2 linked regions of the Drosophila melanogaster genome follow. The protein of the gene in region 1 interacts with the protein of each later gene in a pairwise test. Each region holds a gene or a part of one and is shown in the gene's direction. Other genes may lie near its edges.

The links.
Region 2: the proteins of Nse4 (region 1) and MAGE interact in a two-hybrid assay, tested with the Drosophila melanogaster proteins (2 studies listed by BioGRID).

Annotation. Positions count from the first base shown.
Region 1 is NT_033779.5:10,437,336-10,441,664, forward strand, and holds Nse4 (Non-SMC element 4), read left to right. Parts: upstream 1-2,104; 5' UTR 2,105-2,193; coding exon 2,194-2,284; intron 2,285-2,335; coding exon 2,336-2,553; intron 2,554-2,609; coding exon 2,610-2,777; intron 2,778-2,840; coding exon 2,841-3,170; intron 3,171-3,225; coding exon 3,226-3,291; 3' UTR 3,292-3,712; downstream 3,713-4,329. Other genes in the region: STUB1 (STIP1 homology and U-box containing protein 1), read left to right, coding at 504-626, 706-904, 966-1,107, 1,256-1,361, 1,421-1,477, 1,547-1,789.
Region 2 is NT_033777.3:7,153,701-7,157,231, reverse strand, and holds MAGE (MAGE), read left to right. Parts: upstream 1-2,051; 5' UTR 2,052-2,167; coding exon 2,168-2,866; 3' UTR 2,867-2,994; downstream 2,995-3,531. Other genes in the region: Sas-4 (spindle assembly abnormal 4), read right to left, coding at 3,068-3,531.

The DNA of each region.
Region 1 (4,329 bases):
TTGGTCAGATATACCAAATTATGTATCCGAGTTACTTGCGCTAGTGACGAATAGCGAAAGATTCTTCTATTAGACCCACTAGTTCAGTAAGAGATATCTGATAGTCGAGAAACTCGAAAATGGCACTGTTGTTTTTGAAATGTGCAAACGATAGTGTGGCAAAAGTATCGTTTGGGCGGTGATAGTGCAATCGATGAATGTGCAGCTTTAATTTAAGCTTGTGAGTCTTGGCAACTCTAGAAACACATCGATTAACGTAGCTGAAAATTGTTTTATGTTTAATTAAATACAGGCGAATAGCTCAAGATCTTTTTGGTGTTATGAGCGTTCAAAAGTCACTACCGTTTCCCACTTAATACTTTGTTAACTGTTAAGTTCGTGCAGCAGTTCCCCAATTCTTGCAGAGGAAACAAATTTACGAGTGCTTCGGTGTTGTTGGACACACACTCACTTTTCATCGGTGGAAAATCAAATTTGGGACCAGGCGCAGAAGATTCGTCAGGATGACGACCAAGCACATCTATTCCACGACCAATTTATCAGATCTGCAATTAAAGGAGCAGGGAAACTGCTTGTTTGCAGCCCGAAAATATGACGACGCAATAAATTGCTACTCAAAGGCCATCGTAGGTGTCTCACATATTTTTGTTATTGTGATGTGTATTTTGTTGTTTACATGTGCACTATGCTCCATATAATATGTAGATAAAGAACCCCACAAACGCCACATACTTCACAAACCGAGCCCTCTGCAACCTGAAACTGAAGAGATGGGAACTGTGCTGCCAGGATAGTCGGCGCGCCCTCGACATCGATGGGAATCTGTTGAAGGGTCACTTCTTCCTGGGCCAAGGACTCATGGAAATCGACAACTTTGACGAGGCTATAAAGCACCTTCAACGGGGTTAGATAATACCTGACCTTTGATGTTCTCTACACTAACTAACCATATATGAAACTTATAGCATACGATCTGTCCAAGGAGCAGAAGCAAAACTTTGGGGATGATATTACACTACAGTTGCGACTAGCTCGCAAAAAGCGCTGGAATGTTATGGAGGAGAAGCGAATACAGCAGGAAATCGAGCTGCAAAGCTATTTAAATGGGTAAGATGTTATTCGAATTCTCTAGATGCCTTTTGCAAACTAAATTTAGTCACCGCACGACGATATCGAGGCAATTGTTGTCCTCATGTGATAGAATATATATTAAAAAAAGCGAAATTTGTGCAAAACCTAAATATTTATGTTTCAGTCTAATAAAAGGGGACATGGAAAGCCGTTTGGCCAATTTAAAGCTGAATGGAAATGTACACGATGAGCAGCTGAAAGACAAGCAACAGGAAATTGAGCAAGAATGCGTAAGTTGGACTTTAACCAGAATATTTAGCGGAGTTGACAATCTAATTTTACTTTTTAGGATGACCATATTAAGGAACTTAACAATATATTTTCTAAGGTTGACGAACGTCGAAAGGTAAGAAACTAAAGGAAAAATAACCAATATTAAAAATATTGTTCTAATATTGTTATTTACATATTACAGAAACGTGAAGTTCCCGATTTTCTATGTGGCAAAATAAGTTTTGAAATATTAACAGACCCTGTGATAACTCCATCTGGAATTACGTATGAACGAAAAGATATAGAAGAACACTTGCAGCGGGTTGGACATTTCGATCCTGTGACACGCGTTAAGCTCACTCAGGATCAACTAATACCAAATTTTTCAATGAAGGAAGTGGTTGACTCTTTTATTGCCGAGAATGAATGGTCTTTAGATTATTAAGTTACTTATTAGTTGGCATTGTCATTGTAATTGATTAGATGTTAGAACCCAGTTCCCATTGTCTAAAAACCAGATAAGTGATAATAAATGTGGATCTGCAATTGAGATTTATATTGTAAATGGATAAATTGTAATTATTAATAAATTAAACAGCATAATGTTCAAAATATAAATAAAAAAGCTTTTGCACGATATCGATAGAGAGTTAGCGGTAGTGTGAAAACAATATAGTTTCGATCACCCGTTCCAGTTAGTCAAAAAGTTGGTGATATCTTGACCAAACAAATTATCGATATACAGCTGCTTACAGATTTGCAGAAATCATTTTCAAAGAAATTTGTTTATGTGAATTCACAATTGGATTAACTTCGCTCTTCTTTGTTTAGTATTTATTTAACAATAATATGGATTCGTCTGAAAGCCAATCGCAAATGGATGACCAAGATGCTCGCATACTGCGTCTGCAAAATCTGATCGAAAAGAATATTGAGATAGGTAAGTTAAATCATAAATTACTAATATCTGAAATAACTATATGAATTGCAGAGCAACAAATCGAAAACAACACCATCGGAGAGTCTATCACGGCCATAGAGGAAATCATTCAGACAGCCAACGATATCAGCAAGGGACATGAAGACCGCCGTACAAACTCCACGGAACTTGTCCTGGACACGGAGCTACTGCGTCGCAATTTCGAAGTTGTGGGAAAAGCTATCCAACATAACACCAACGTCACGGATCGAATGGTGGCCACGGCGATCGTAGGTGCACTGTGTACTTTATTTATGCCTGATCGTAATGTTTGATCCTATTACAGAACGATTTGGTTTTCAAAGAGAGCGAAGAAGATTGGGATGCTCTTTGTTCATTGGCTATTCAGTTCGGAAGACCACTCTTCACCAATGATAGCATGCTGCCCTTCATAGATGTTACTCCAAAGGTGGTGGTTCAAAAGCAACGTGCTCCTCGCAAAACGAAATCTCAAGTAAGTCATTTGTTAAACAATTTCTCACAGTAATATTTGTTCATATTATTATGGATCTTGTAGGTAGATGAGAAGCGTCCAGAAAAGAGTGACCAATTGGAACGCAAGGACGAAGGAGCAGCGTCCGTAACCCACATGCTGAAGCAAATAAGACAAATATATCGAGATGGCAATCAAGAGCCGATTCCGTACTTTAAACTGATTTGCAATCCAAACAATTTTATGGACACCGTTCAGAACGCTTTGCAACTGTCGTTTCTTGTCAAGGAGAACTATATTTCCATCGAAAATGGCGAGGATGGTTTGCCATTGGTTCGCGTTGTGAATTCCAAATCGGTCGAAGGAAACGCACCGTCCCAGGCTATTTGTTCCATCGATGTTACCTTTTGTGAGGTTCGTATTTCAATTATTGTTTAAAGCATTATAATTGATATGATTTAAATTACAGAAAATGGTAAAGCACTACAACCTACATGAGCCAATGTTAAAAAGACTTCCGGTTAGTGAGAAATAGATATATCACTTAGTTCATATTAATAGTTTATATTGTTATTAATAAAACACATAGAACGTTTAAAGTTACTCATGTACGGCATAAATAATCGGGTAATTGAAAGTGTTCTTTCCCCCAAACATTAAGTAATTAACGTAATATCAACACAAAATCATTAAATGAATTTTATTACTCAAGCAGTTACTTCATAGTTCAAACACTTCCCCCAATATTTTACTACGAATCCGCCCCTGCCATTATGTCAATTTTTATGACCGCCTACAAATTGTGAAATATGTAGAAGGGGCACTTGTGAAGTTATAGCAATATAAAATGTATGTATGTTATATTTAGGAACTAAATATTAGTTAAGTTGTTTACTTATAACTTTAACCAGTTTCGGATTATGTTCTTAATCCGTTTTTCCTGGTCTCAATGGGTGGCATACCAAGAATTAAACAAATAAATTACTTTGCAGAGTGGAATAATGAATGAATGAATGATTGGTCCATTAATTAAAAAATCACTCCTGTGCTCGAAATTAGTGCACTTTCCGTTGCACAGCGGCTTTTAATTGAATTCCGTTAACTTAATTCCACAAAGAGAAATTAAGATTAATTAAGATTTATTGCACAATGAAGCTTAGGGTTAATTGCATCTTTGCGGTCGACGGAGTTTAAAAGGCTTTCTATGGAGTATAGCCTTTTCTAAGAGATCAGTGCTTCTATTCAAACTGGATGTAGTAGATCAAGTTACTCGATGCACTATTGTCTGAGATTTTGGGGCTTTCAACTTCATGTGGGCGAAGAGAGTTGACCCAAGTGCAGGAAACTAAGCTAATGTGTAATTATATATAAAACCAAAATGAAGATTTATTGCTCCATATCAGCATAGCAACAAACGACCCAATTAATAGCCACCCAATCTTCAAAATACAAAATTAATGATGCACAAGCGCAGTTTCAATAAGTTGCCAAGTTGGGTTTGTCTTAGTAAATTCCATTGAAGAATTCTACTTCTATGAAAAACTTAGTAAATGCATTATGCTACTATGAGTTT
Region 2 (3,531 bases), on another chromosome or scaffold:
GACTGAGGCAACAACAGCCGGCTATTGTTTCTATATTCTCGATTCCATTCCATTGCGACCGAAACGGGGTTATCTGCTCACTGAAAGAGGTTGTAAGAACAAACTTATATACTTGTATAGGGAAATAAAACATTCGATTTGCTGAAGAATAAATTAAAATATTTTTAGCCAGAGAAGCTGGGAACATGAAAAGAAGGAATCTTTAAAAAACTACAAGATAAGAGATTTATGTTTGCGAAACTATGCCATTTATCAGCGTTTTTCTTATCAAAACGAAAGACTAATTTGAATGTTTGCAACACATTTTTTTAAAATACAACTTTAAGAATATCAAAAGATGTATTTATATTAGCGTAATTTCCATTTAATGGTGCCTTCCATTTTTCTGAATTTTAAATGTAATATTATTTATTCATTTTTCACTTTTTATTTTCATTCATATTATTTTCGCAATAAAAAACTTTTAGCTCCTTAAGATATTCGAAATGATAAATCTCAAAGAGCAAGCCACTTAAAAACAATTAATCCCGATCATATAGAGCATTAAACTCCACACATTCCTCATTCCAATATTGGCTTTCTTTTTTGTGCACACATTTTTTGTCTGCTGCCTCTTGTGATTCTGTTATTAATTTATTAATAGTTTTTGCCACCGCGGTGAGCTGCGAAACCCGTTGTCGTTACTCTATTGGCTGGTCATGGGATTTTGTTTATCATGAAAATTCTAAATGGCATGCTCATGTCATTTGCTAATTTTTAATGGCCTTTAAAAGCCAGGCTGCATAGCAAGTTTGCCGCTCACGTCGCTCAGCAAAGACCTTGACTTTCTTTTTAGTAAATGAGACATTTCTCCAACACCGTCTGGCTACAATTAGCCGGCCATAAAAAAACTTTAGGGCTGGAGTTGACAAACTCCAACGTTACAATGCGCATTTTGAAAGCAAAACTGTTTGCTTGTGTGTAGAAAGTCTAACGCTTCGCGTTGACAGTGCGTTTTGTTGACTCACTCAGCCGCCGTTTTGCGAGATTTACAATCTTGAGTAATTTCACTTGCTGGGATGCAAATTTCGGTGCTATTACAGTCACTGGTCAAGCAGAATCAATTGCAGAACGCGGCGGATATCCATTTCAGGCGGCCACAAAGGCTGTCTTTAACAATCTGAACTCCGATATTCTGCTTTTGTTCAAGCCGGAACAATGGCGAATCAATTAAAGCTTGCCGCCTGGCCAGGCAACTTTTGTCTGCCTTCCGCCTGTACATTTATCACTTATGGATCGCGCACTTTGCGCAGACGCAGGTAACTAGTTTTCACCGCAGAGATACAGCCACCGCCATCGCCACCTAAAACACACATTTCAAGGCAATAAAATATGTTTGGCCATGTAATTCTGCAGCGTCTGGAAGTGCACTTCGGCGCGTGTGTCTGCTGCGCGAAATGCATTTCCATTTCCATTTCGTTTTGTTTGACTCGGTCTCTGTTTATTTTGAGTCTCCGTGGGGAATGTTGACCGTGCATGTCATTCGCGTTTAGTTTTGAAAGTTGTTTGCTTCCTGCTGCTGCACGTCGCGTCGTTTTGGCCATTTTAATTAAAAACACATCACCTCCTGAGGCTGCTATGGCAATTTTTATGCAAAGTGCGTTACCCACTGCTTAGCTGCTCGATAAATGCTCGAATGATATTTATTTAGCAAACGTTTCGCTGCAGCGCAAATTTCATACTGATTGTTAAATGTAACAGAGGAAAAAGGCGGCAGCAAAAGGAAATCAATCAATACAAACCCACAAGAGTAGGTACTTCAGCGGCTCTTGGCCCAGTTTGTGCGTTCAAACGAGACCAATGAGTGGCCATTTGCACTTGAAAGTGCATATAATAGGCAACCAAGTGAAAAAGGATGCGAGAGAAAAGGATTGGTAAAGACCATAATAAGGGTTCGAAGATTTTATTGTCAGAGTAATGATTTTGAATTAATATAATTTGCGCGCCCATTTGGTATTTTAATACTGAAAACAGGTCTCGTTTTTTAACTCTGATCTGGCAACGCCAGGCTTGTACACTTTCAAAAGTGCGAAAAAAAACATATGTTCGCTGCATTCTTGTTGAGTTGCATTTTAAATAATCAAATAAATTTGATAAATTGGGAGCTTGTTAATCAAATTAACTCGAAATGGCTAGCACTTCTCGCGCAGCTAGGAGCCAGAATGCCATCCCCTCGCAGGAAGCGCAACAACCCGTCGATGTGGTCGACGCCAAGGTTCGCGCCATTCTAAACTACATCCTTGATCATACCGCCCAGAAGATTCCCATAAAGGACAAGGATTTGATAGCGGTGGCTGGGGACAAGAGCGAACTGAAGAAACGCCTGCCGCTGGTCACTAATCTGCTGGCCGAAACATTCGGTATAATACTAACCCCACTGGACGCGACCACCAAGACGTTCATCTGCACTGCGGAGGAGCCGGTGGCCTCCATTCACGAGCTGACGCCGGCTCAACGGCCGCAGTTCACGCTGCTGTATATTATTCTCATGTACATCTTCCTGCGCGGCAACCGCATCGAGGACTCGAAACTGTACGTTATGCTGGAGATGCTCAACATCTATCCAGACGAAGAACATGGCTACTTCGGCCCCAATCTGCGCAAACAGATCGAGGAGACGTTTGTGAAGCAACAATATCTGAAGCGGGAACGCTCACAGCTAAGTGCTTACGATGATTCCAAGACTTTCTTCCTTTGGGGACCACGTGCCAAGGCGGAGTTCACATTCGAGCAAATGGTGCAATTCGCCTCCAAGCTGCTCAATCAGCATCCCAAGGTCTTCGGCCATCACCTCTCCATGGCCCAAGAAGGAGTAAACGCGGAGTAGAATACCATTCTATGAATAATTTACTACATTTGATCTAACAAATTGAAAACCAAACAATATATATAATAATCTAAAATAGAGCCAATTTCCCATTTATCAGCAAGAAAAGAATATTACGATGATCTTTTAAAAATAGCACGTCTTTTCTATTTATCTAAAACTTAAGTTAATTTACTTAACAACGGAAGCAGAGACCCGACTCTAATACTTGGCATAGTCTGTGTCCATTATGAGCTTGCCATCCTTGTCCTTCAAACGAACGCGGCCGTTGGAGTAGCGCGTCTCTTGGCTGCCATCCGGATACACTAGCTTCACAGTGCCGTCCGGATACTCCCTTCGCTTGTTTAGTTTGGTGTGAATCTCCTTTTGGCCATTGGGCAGATTGAGAATCTTGTCACCATTCCGGAGCTGCACTAGATGGGTTCCATCCGCATAACGCCACTCCTCCAGTTTCTCCGTATCGCTGGGATCCACAATCTTAATGCTGTTGTTGGGAAAGTGAATCTCAACAGTGCCATCCTTGCGGCGATGTTCCGTCTGCCCGTTGGGAAACTCGAGTATTTCCAAGCCATCTAGGTAGGAGGTGTGCCAAGTGTTGGTCTCAGCGTAGTAATACTTCACTGTGCCTTCCCTGATGTTAGTTTCCTTGATATCCTTGTTGAAAT